Stegostoma tigrinum: one gene and its partners. The protein of the gene in region 1 interacts with the protein of each later gene in a pairwise test. Links are inferred from orthologs where the notes say so. Each region holds a gene or a part of one and is shown in the gene's direction. Other genes may lie near its edges.

Region 1 (3,750 bases):
CCCGAACTGTCAACATTCCTGCTCCTCTGATGCTGCCTGGCCTGCTATGTTCATCCAGCTCCATACTGTGTTATCTCTTAGAAAGGCTGCATTTTTTTTTAACTTTCCAAACAACGCCTTCTTCCATCTACACAATGGCTCAGTGGTAAGCACTGATGCCTCACAGTGCCAGGGACCTGGGTTAAATTCCAGCCTCGGGCAACTGTGTGGAGCTTGCACATTCTCCCCGTGTCTGCATGGGTTTCCTCCAGGTACTCTGGTTTCCTCCCACAGTCCAAAGATGTGCGGGTAAGGTGTATTATCGTGCGAAATTACCCCATAGTGTTCAGGGATGTGCAGTTTAGGTGGGTTGTAGGGGGATGGGTCTGGATGGGATGCTCTGAGGTTCGGTGTGGACTTGTTGGGCCAAAGGGCCTGTTTCCACACTGTAGGGATTCTATGATTTATACACACATGCAACTTGGAAAGATTACTTCAAAAAGGACATGATCTGGTTTCTGACAGTGGACTGTCCAATCATTGAGATTTTTTTAAAAATCGTAAAATTGTGAGGAGTGGGTGAGGGTGTTGGTCAGAAATGGGTGGAGGGTTGAGCTTATGCAATTATAAATCTGGACTTTTGAAGATTTAATCTGGAGGGGAATAAAGCAGCATGGGGATGGGAGAAAGAAAGTTGGAGTAAGGAGGGGGAAGGAAAGGAGGGTGAAGGGTAATGGAGGGGGGTAAAGGAGGGAGCTGAAGGTGGGTGAAGGGTAATGGAGTGGGGTAAAGGAGGGAGTTGAAGGTGGGAGAAGGGTAATGGAGGGGGGTAAAGGAGGGAGCTGAGGTGGGGGAAGGGTGGGGGAGGGGAATGGAGGAAGAGGGGAAAGGTAGGGGTGGGGGAGGGGATAGAGGAGGCGGGAAAGCGTCTTTCGTAATATTTGTCGGCAGAGCAGTTAAAGGCAATGCAGGGATGTTCCCTTTAAGGAGGGCGGTGCTGTGACCCGGAAATGAATGGGAGGGTGTGGGGAAGGGACCGGGAACGATCAGGATCAGTGCTGGGACTGGAGGAGGCGGTGAGTGTTAGGGGAGGGGGAGACCATCTCCAACACCTCCCTCCCCCCCCAAACCCGGTGCTGCAGCTACTTACCTCCCGAAAAGCCCCAGAATCGTCCCGATCTCACCCACCCCCACCCTCACCCATCCTTACTCACCCGTTCTTATCACCACCACCGTTTCCTTCTACCCACATGCCCACTGTCATATTTCCCCCCCCCACCCCAATTTCAGCCTTCCTGTTCCCATCCTCATGTCTCCCTGTCTTTTGTTTAAAAATGCATTATATTTCGAAACTATCGACTGCAGAGGGTGGAGGGAAGAAATAGAAAAATTCCATGATAGGCAAAAGCCCCTTTTTAAAATTTCTAACCTTCGATGTTTTTCTGTCTGTGTGTCAGACAGTGTTTAAACCATTATTGTTTAAATTCTTGTTTTTAAACATTCGTAATTGGGCTAATTTTCTGCCCTCTATCTTTCCCGAAACTCGCTTTCTCAACTCTTTCTGAGTTCCATTCCTGCCAAATGCCAGAACTCTGACCTGTATCATGCACAATCTGCATTTTTGTCTGGTTCTTGTTTATGCTGATCCCTTCCCCTGTCATTAGCCTTTCCGTTTAAACTCCTTGCAGGCATTGCTGTACTGGATTGGTGCAGTTTTATCCAGTATCATGTTTGAATATCGTACGTTATGTAATCTTTCTTCCAAACTTTCACCATCTAACTTCTTTAGCTTTATTAAGACCTGTATGCTTTTGTAACGTCCATCTCAATGCTTCAGTCAGATCTCCACCCACTGCTTTGCTTGCTGTCAATTGGCAGAGTTGTAAGTACAAGTTTGCCAGTTGTTAAAACTGTTTTTGGCTTTTCTTGGGCATTATCGGGAAAACTTGGTGGGTGTGTTGATATTTTACTAATTGCAAAGATGTAAGTGGAAAGTAAATATTTGCCGTATGAGCAGCTTTAACAAACTTCACTTTAAATGGAAGTATGTGTTTATTTGTTCTGGGATTGTAAGAAGTGTTTCAGAAAGATAACTTGCCTTTAAGCATGTATCACTTGATGTTAGTTACTTCATAGAGTAATTTTGAGACTTGCCCTGAAATAGCCTTTTGTTTATTTAAAGCTGTGATCCATTGTCCTATTCTTATGCGTTTAGTTATTTTCCTTTTCCATAATGTTTACAATATTGCATACTTCCTATAAAATCCCTCTCACCCGTTTACTTTCAAAATTGAAATTTCCAAATTTCTCCATAATTCAAATGTGCTCATTTTCTTCACAATGTAAATGACTCAATGATGAGAACTGAATAAAGTTGTTCTGTTTCCAGACCAAAGCTTTATAAAGTGATCAAACCTCCTGTTTTCATTCTGGTTTTTGCTGAATAATTCAGTGAATGTGCAAGATCCCACAATGTTACTTCTCTTAGCCAGTACGTAACCACTACTGAAAATGGCGAGGTATAGCTGGGCATTTTCACAATGATGTCTGTGGGACATCGCTGGATGCTAATTGGCTGCTATGTGTCATATATTATAAGTGACTACACTTGTAAAGTATTTAATTAGTTACAAAGTGCTTTGTAATGGCAAGTCATTTTTTCTTTTATGTTCTACAGTATTAGCACACTTCCATTTTGTGTATGGTGTTCACCAGCCTTTTTCAACTTCGTTTTTGCTATATCAACCATTCATAGTGTATCATTTAAGTGTTAATCTTCCTGTATAAAATTGAATCTCTTTGTCCTGTCCACTGAGTTATTTTAGTTAGCTTGTTCTGTAACTGGAGCTGCTATTTTCTGGTTCATTAACCCTCTAGGCCAGGTATCAGCTACAAATTTGATTAATAAAGAACAAAGAAAATTACTGTACAGGAACATAAGATAATAAAATGTGAGGCTGGATGAACACAGCAGGCCCAGCAGCATCTCAGGAGCACAAAAGCTGACGTTTCGGGCCTAGACCCTTCATCAGAGAGGGGGATGGGGTGAGGGTTCTGGAATAAATAGGGAGAGAGGGGGAGGCGGACCGAAGATGGAGAGAAAAGAAGATAGGTGGAGAGGAGCGTATAGGTAGGGAGGGGATAGGTCAGTCCAGGGGAGACGGACAGGTCAAGGAGGTGGGATGAGGTTAGTAGTAGGGAGATGGAGGTGCGGCTTGGGGTGGGAGGAAGGGATGGGTGCGAGGAAGAACAGATTAGGGAGGCAGAGACAGGTTGGACTGGTTTTGGGATGCAGTGGGGGGAGGGGAAGAGCTGGGCTGGTTTTGGGATGCGGTGGGGGAAGGGGAGATTTTGAAGCTGGTGAAGTCCACATTGATACCATTGGGTTGCAGGGTTCCCAAGCGGAATATGAGTTGCTGTTCCTGCAACCTTCGGGTGGCATCATTGTGGCACTGCAGGAGGCCTATGATGGACATGTCATCTAAAGATCGGGAGGGGGAGTTGAAATGGTTGGCGACTGGGAGGTGCAGTTGTTTATTGTGAACCGAGCGGAGGTGTTCTGCAAAGCGGTCCCCAAGCCTCCGCTTGGTTTCCCCAATGTAGAGGAAGCCACACTGGGTACAGTCCCTGGCTCCCAACACCTCATTTTCACCATGGATGTCCAGTCCCTATACACCTGTATTCCGCATGCAGATGGCCTCAAGGCCCTCCGCTTCTTCCTGTCCCGCAGGCCTGACCAGTCCCCCTCCACCGACACCCTCATCCGCCTAG
Region 2 (3,750 bases), on another chromosome or scaffold:
TCCCTGCTCTATCCATGTCTCCGAAATGGCCACAACATCGAAGTCCCAGGTACTAACCCATGCTGCAAGTTCACCCACCTTATTCCGACACTCCTGGCATTGAAGTAGACACACTTCAAACCAACCTCTTGCTTGCCGGTCCATCTTGCTTCCCTGAAACTTTATTTCGGACCACCCTACTCTCAACCTTTTCTATAGTCAAACTACAATTTTGGTGCCCATCGCCCTGCTGAATTAGTTTAAACCCACCCGAATAGCCTTAGCAAATCTCCCCCCCAGGATATCGGTACCCCTCTGGTTCAGGTGAAGACCATCTTGCTAGTCGAGGTCCCACCTACCCCAGAAAGTGCCCCAATTATCCAAGAATCCAAAACCCTCCCTCCTGCACCATCCCTCTAGCCACATGTTCAACTCCTCTCTCTCCCTATTCCTCGCCTCACTAGTACGTGGCACAGGCAACAAACCAGAGACAACAACTCTGTTCATCCAAGCTCTCAGCTTCCATCCTAGCTGCCTGAATTTTTGCCTTAAATCCCCATCTCTCTTCCTACCTATGTCGTTGGTGCCAAAGTGGACCACGACTTGGGGCTGCTCCCCCTCCCCCTTAAGGATCCCAAAAACACGATCAGAGACATTACGCACCCTGGCAGGCACTAAGTGTGTTTTCTCAGACTCTATAAGCTGCTCAGGCGCTAAATGCTCCATTGCCACGTAAACACGAGAGATGAGGATTTTGATTGACAGCTAGGTCCCCCACCCGATAGAGCGCATGTGTAAGCCTTGATCCGACGTCTAGAAGGACGGATGCGCATGCGATCCGACGGACAGGAGACGGGGGTCTTGCGCACGCGCAATGAAGGGGTCCGGCAGGAGCCGGGCAGACGCATGCGCCGTCTGAAACGTTCGCGCGGGGCGTGTCGGGTGCGCCTGCGTGCTGCTACCGCCTCTTGGTGTCTACTAGACGGGTCGACGACCTGGTCGGGTGAGACCGGCCACCACCCACGACAAACCGTGCAGCCGTCACCCTGGAGAGCGGACTTTGACCGGTCAGCACCGGCTCTGGTCCATAGCACGAGCGGCTGGAGGAAAGGCCTGTGGCCTGTCTTCTTGGCGACCGGTTACTGAGGTAACGTATGAGGCTCGCTGCTGGGGGGGAGACCGTGAGGCTGCAGGTAACCGAGGGCCCGGCAGTTCGTATGGGACATTGGGCAGCAGCATCATCCCCCGAGAGACACCTGGGTTCAGATGTCAGGCCAGAGAACCGAACACATGTACACAAAACAGCAAAGAAGGTTCGCCAGACCTGGATGAACACAGCCGGCTAAGCAGCATCAGAGGAGCAGGAAAGCTGATGCTGCTTGGCCTGCTGTGTTCATCCAGCTTCACACCTTATTATCTCAAATTCTCCAGCATCTGCAGTTCCCACTATCAAAGAAGGTTCACCACGTTCTCATGATGCGGAGGTGCTGGTCTTGGACTGGAGTGGACAAGGTCAGAAATCACACCACACCAGCTTATAGTCCAACAGGTTTATATTTGCAATCACAAACTTTTGGAGTGTAGCCCCTTTGTCAGGTGAAGTGTCAAATAAACCTGTTGGACTATAACCTGGTGTGGTGGATTTCTGACCTTGTCGCAGAGTCAGTGCTGCAGGAGCACGGCACTGTTGGAGTGTCAGTACGAGTGAGCACCACACTGTCAGAGGGTCAGCGCTGAGGGAGCGTGGCGCTGTTAAGGTTTTCAGGGTCAAGGGAGCTCCTTGTTCTCTGTACTCTCGGGGGCTGGGCAGACTGGAGGCTTGTCCTTGAGGGTTTGAGTGCTGACAGGGCTGCACATTCAGCGAATCAGCCAATTAGACACTGTTATATGTCTGCGCATCAGTACTGAGGGACTCCTAGGGATGTGGGGCTTGGGTCGTCATTGTTGAGGCCCTGGTGCTAGAATGTGACCCACCTTTACACCTTGAAATGTTGGCCCTGTTTCTCTGCCTGCAGGTGTAGTCAGTGTTATGAGATGGTTGTGTGACAATACTCCCATTGTCTGTTCAGGTGGCTGTAACATTTCACTAAGAAAGAGCCATGAATTCATCCCACTGCCCTGGCCGGTATTTATGCTTCAGTAAGCTTAATTTAAAGCAGATCACCTGCTTGTTATCACACGGCTCTCCTCGTGGTCATATTGTGTGCCGTTTGGGTACTTTATATCTTACATGACATTTGTGATTAGACTGCAATGTTACTTTAATATTTTTAATCATTTGTGGGGCATGGCCCACACTGGCTGGATCAGCACTTTTTAATTGCCTGTCTCTAATTGCCCTTCAGAAGGTGGTGGTGAGCTGCTTTCTTGAACTGCTGCAGTCCACATGCTGAGGGTTGACCCACAATGCCATTAGGAGGAAATTGCAGAATTTTGACCCAGTGACAGTGAAGGAGCAGCAGTATGTTTCCAGGTTAGGATGGTGAGTGGCTTGGAGGGTTACTTGCAGGTGGTGGTGTTCCCATGTATCTGCTGCACTTGTCCTTCTAGATGAAAGTGATTGTGTGTTTGGAAGGCGATGTGTAAGGATCTTTGCTGAATTTTTGCAGTGCATCTTGTAGATAGTACACACTGCTGCCACTGACTGTCGGTGGTGGAGGGAGTGGATGCTTGTGGATGTGGTGCCAATCAAGTAGGCTGCTTTGTCCTGAATGGTATCAAGCTTTTCGAGTGTTGTTGGCGCTGTACCCATCTAGGCAAGTGAGAACTGTTTCATCACGCTTCTAACTTAAGTCTTGTGGATGATGGACAGACTTTGGGGAGTTAGGAGGCGAGTTACTCACTACAGTGTTCTTAGCCTCCGACCTGCTCTTGTAGCTACTGTGTTTATGTGGCAAGTCCTGCTGAGTTTCTGATTAATGGCGGCCCCCAGGATATTGATACTGGAAGCACCATTGAATGTCTAGGAGCTGTGGTTCGATATTCTCTAATAAGAGACAATCATTGCCTGGCATTTGTGTGGCATGAATGTTATTTGCCATTTGTCAGCTGAATCCTGGATGTTGTCCAGATCTTGTTGCATTAGAACATCGATTGCTTCAGTATCTGAGGGGTTGCAATTAGTGATGAACATTATGCAATCGTCGTCGAACATCCCCATTTCTTAGGGTCGAGAGAAGGTCTTATAGTACTTTTAAATATTGGGAGATCAAGAAGGACACTACCAATGGAAGTTTTTCTTCATTTCTACACAGTCATGTTTATTGACAACTACCTGGTTGATTGTGGTTCCACCCTGACACTGGCTAGCCTTTGAACCCCTCATTTGAAACTAGGGGCAGGAATAGGCTTTTCAGTCTCTTGAGTGTCCATCACCATTTGATAAGATCACAGTTGATCTGATTGTAACCTCAGATCTACAATCCCTTGTCCCCCTCATTATCTTTTACCCCTTTGATCAACAAGAATTTAAAAATATTCGAGTATTCTGCTTCCACTGTCTTTCTGCGAAGAGTTCCAAAGAATTACCTCAACATTGAAATGAGCAACTCTTGATTTTTAAGCAGTGGTCCAGATTCTCCCACTGGTGAAATATTCTGTCAACATCTACCATGTAAAGTCATCATAGAATCTTGTATGTTTCAATCAATCCACCTCTTGCTTTTTTAAACTGCAGCAGATAAAATTTGAGCTTATATAAGCTCTCCTCATAAGAAAACCCATGCATTCCATGTATTGGTCTGGTAAACTGTCTCTAAACTGCTTCGAGTG
Region 3 (3,750 bases), on another chromosome or scaffold:
TGTTCCCAAACAAAAGTAACAAATACATGGCAGGTGATACTGAATTTCATCTCTCTAATTGAAAAAATGGATATACGTCAGCTTCTTGACGTTATTTATCGTAACGTGAAATTTACAGCCTAAGTGCTTACCTTATTGAAATTGTTCATTTATACTGAATCACATCAATCTGGTTAATTCCACCACACTCAAAGCATGGAGGTAAGTCAAAAAAAAACCTTTGAAAGCACTTTCAAAATTGGGGAGATCAGAATATTATGTCTTCCAAATGAAAGGCGTGGAGGAGAGGAACCTGTTCCTCCTTGGAATCATGTGCCATATGAAAATAGGAGCCTGGGGACGTTTCGTTATATGAAAACTGCATTCAACAACAACCTACATTGATGTAGAACCTTTAACATGGTTTGAAAGAAAACAGCTTAAGGTGCGCCAAGAAGCGTACAATCAGGCGAAAATTAACACGGAGGCACACCCCATTCTCCCATTCTCCCATTCCCACTCCCACTCCCACTCCCACTGAGGAGAGTGGAGCAAAAGTTCAGTCTTCATGAGATGACTGAAAGGAGGTGAGAAGTGGAAAGGTTGAGGGACCCAGAGAGAGAGAGAGAAAATTAGCCGGAGGCAATGAAAGAGGCTAAGTGAAACAGTCGAGCTCAGCTGAAAACTTACTGGGGGGAAACTAGAGAGGATGGAGGGTCAGCAGGAAGGAAGGACAACGGGGGGGGGGCGGTGCTGCAACTGCAGGTCAACCCCAAACCCGAAATCCATTCTAGAAAAAGCCCTGTCAAAACTCACAGGGCGGGGACACTGTAATTAAAGACTGTCATGAATATTAATGTCGAAGTGGAAGGCGGGGCTGCGTCAGGTGTATGCCGGCGCCGTACTGCCTTATTATGTTAATAGCGGGCAGTGAGAGGGAGCTGGGTTATACACACTAGTGGAATGTGAGTGTTGGAAAGGGCGGTAAGGACGGGACTAGGCGGTGAATTCACGGCACTGAAAGATAAAGAGAGATTCAACGCGCAGATTAAACAAAAATTATGGAGAAGCGCTACTTCACCATAGCCGAGGTGCAGGAGCACACGACGGTGGATTCCTGCTGGATCATCCACGGGCGGCGGGTCTACGACGTGTCGGCGTTTATCCAGCGGCACCCGGGCGGCGAGCAGATGATCGTCCGGCGGGCGGGTACGGATGTGAGCCGGGACATGGCAGGACCTCCGCACCGGCATAGCTCGAACGCGCACCGCTGGCTACAGCAGTACTACATCGGGGAGCTGAGCACGGACAGCGGCGCCCCGGAGGAGGATGAAGAAGAAATATTCTCCCAGAAAAAGCAGGTAACTCCAAGGGAAGGGGATGGAAAAGATCTTGGGCATCCTCTAAGGAAGACCACCCCCCACCCCACCAACGTCTGGTTCATCCGCTGAAGAGCGCCTCCCCACCTTATTCACTCGTGACATTTTGTGCAAAGTCATGTTTTGAACCTACTCGGGGACAAAAAACAGCAAAGTGGAAGTAAATGAGAAAGTTTAAAGCAGAACTTTTAACATACACACGAAGTGGAGTTTTAATAGAATTAACTATGGAGTGAGGGGAGTGGCTCATACAGCGATGAGCTCCCACCTTGGGGGATGGGGTTGATGGAATTTTTCCACACGATATTTTAAAATAAATCCGTGTAAACAACATACCCGGAAGCTCTGCATTCTACCGTGACTTAATGCTGAGCCTGTTTTCTGTGTTTTTTGTTTTTTTTTGTTTCTTTAAAATAAGAAAACACCTGCTCCAAGGCTTGGACTGAAAAGCAAGGCTGGTGTCTGGAGGGAAAAAGATATCAGAGAGGCGTCTCCTCAGGAGTGTGGGGGGAGCTTTTTATTTTGAGGTTTTTCAAAGAAAAATCCAAGTCCGACCGAAAGTAAAACAGACTAAGGCTTGTGACACATGTCGGAAGGGGGAAATGGGCTCAAGAAACACGAAGTATTTACTAGCTGAGTTGCTGCGAGGTTTGTACCCAGGAGAGAGCGGAGCGGATCGCAGACCTGGATAAACAGGTGCTGCGAGAAAACAAAAGGGCGTTAACCAGCAGGTTAATAACCAAACCGGTTTAACAAGAGCATTGGGGCCCACGGTTGGCATTTATTTCCTCGCATTTCTGCCTCCACCGCCACCCTCTTTTTTTTTTCTGGCTTTTAGAAAAAAGGCATACACAAGGGTGTGGGTATGGGAGGTGAGACTTGAACGTGAATTTTAAAACAAGTCCTTTGAATTTTTCGATCGTACCGAAACTTTGTCCAAATGTGAACTGTTGCCAGAGTTCTGTGGTTGCTCGAACCCGAGACGAACTGGCTATTGTAAGGTCACAGACGTTCTCCCCATTTGGTTTGGCCCTGTGTGACATTTGTCACTACATTAGAAGGTACAACATTCGAATTGCGCGGCTTTTCTGCCCCGTGTTACTAATTTCCTACATGTAGCTGGCTGAATACCTTCTTTAATTCAAGTTATTTGGTAATGGACATTAGACGGAAATTGTCAAATTCACAGCAGCGTGGCAACTTTCTTGTGCCGTTTTATTGTGTCGTATTCTTTGATCGAACTATTCGATTAATATCATTTCCCTTCAGCTCACTGATTTTTTTTTATTCGAGTATTTTTCAATTCCATTTGGAATTTGCTACAGAATCTGCTTCAGCCGCTTTTTTTTTCCAGACATTGTAGATGTCCTGAACACACACTTAAAACCAGTCCTTCTGTGCTCCTGTTTCCAACCTGATCACTGGAAAGTTCCTCTCCTTTTTCTGTATTGTTTCAATCGTCTCTGCGTTTGTACGTTCTCCTATGATCCTCTTAGCCTTCTCTGTTCGAAGATATTTCCCAGCATCAGGACATCAATGAAGTGCATTGTCCCTGGAATCATTCTAGTACATCAGTTCTTTGCAAGCTCCAAGGCTTTACATGATTCTTCAGGAGTTGAACTCCGAATCGAAATGAGGCCTGATCAGTATTTCAAAAATTTGCCATTACATTCATGCAATTGCTATCTCCGTAAATATTACAAAAAGTGTCACTTCTTTTCATGCACTGCCATTTCTTCTACTCCTGTACTTCCAGCAGTTCATTGCCTCAGTTTTCTTTGCAGCTGTTTAAAATTGTACTGTTTAGTTCATTTATGGCTGTTCTCGGCCTTTCTATCAAAGGCTACCCTTCACATTACCTTAAATCTCATGTCGTGACTGCCTGTTTCCTCAGTCTCTTGTGCCTGCTCCTGTCCTCACTGACTTGTGATACTTGAGATTTGTACCATTAGCAAATTTTTGAATTTGTGCTCCGAATACCCAAGTCCGAGTCATTAACATGTAAGCCAAAAAAACTTAAGCCAACCCATAAAACCTGCTTGTTAAAACGCTTAACAATAAAAGATGTGCTGGTGTTAGCAAAACCATGCTTACCTGATCATCTTTTATTTCAGTGTGGTTAATTTGTATCTAAGGTGATAAGGTAAATTTAACAATACAAAAAGCTACAATGGAAAAACATCATGGGACTGCTGGAGAAGTGAGAGACCAGCAGTGATTTTTGTCCATGAATACCTTCAGTGGGTGTTGGAGGTGATGTAGTTGGAAGCAAAGCAACATTATGTGAGCAACTGTTCTGCGATCTTTGGATAGAGGCTGAGGCAAGTTTTTATATGTAGGAAAAGTAGTCAAAATTGTATATTTGGATGGACTATTGAGAATCAATGACTTT

What was found.
Region 2: the proteins of erlin-1-like (region 1) and sec22a interact in binary tests that used the Homo sapiens proteins (3 or more experiments, as listed by UniProt). The two-hybrid records come from large-scale screens. The link is inferred for Stegostoma tigrinum from reciprocal best matches to the Homo sapiens genes ERLIN1 and SEC22A.
Region 3: the proteins of erlin-1-like (region 1) and fa2h interact in binary tests that used the Homo sapiens proteins (3 or more experiments, as listed by UniProt). The two-hybrid records come from large-scale screens. The link is inferred for Stegostoma tigrinum from reciprocal best matches to the Homo sapiens genes ERLIN1 and FA2H.

What each region holds. Positions count from the first base shown.
Region 1 is NC_081390.1:13,847,319-13,851,068, forward strand, and holds the start of erlin-1-like, read left to right. Parts: upstream 1-983; 5' UTR 984-1,055; intron 1,056-1,148; exon of another isoform or gene 1,149-1,861; intron 1,862-3,750. UniProt on the Homo sapiens protein: Component of the ERLIN1/ERLIN2 complex which mediates the endoplasmic reticulum-associated degradation (ERAD) of inositol 1,4,5-trisphosphate receptors (IP3Rs).
Region 2 is NC_081360.1:97,211,231-97,214,980, forward strand, and holds the start of sec22a (vesicle-trafficking protein SEC22a), read left to right. Parts: upstream 1-906; 5' UTR 907-1,126; intron 1,127-2,324; 5' UTR 2,325-2,461; intron 2,462-3,750. UniProt on the Homo sapiens protein: May be involved in vesicle transport between the ER and the Golgi complex.
Region 3 is NC_081369.1:14,133,078-14,136,827, forward strand, and holds the start of fa2h (fatty acid 2-hydroxylase), read left to right. Parts: upstream 1-909; 5' UTR 910-1,040; coding exon 1,041-1,340; intron 1,341-3,750. UniProt on the Homo sapiens protein: Catalyzes the hydroxylation of free fatty acids at the C-2 position to produce 2-hydroxy fatty acids, which are building blocks of sphingolipids and glycosphingolipids common in neural tissue and epidermis.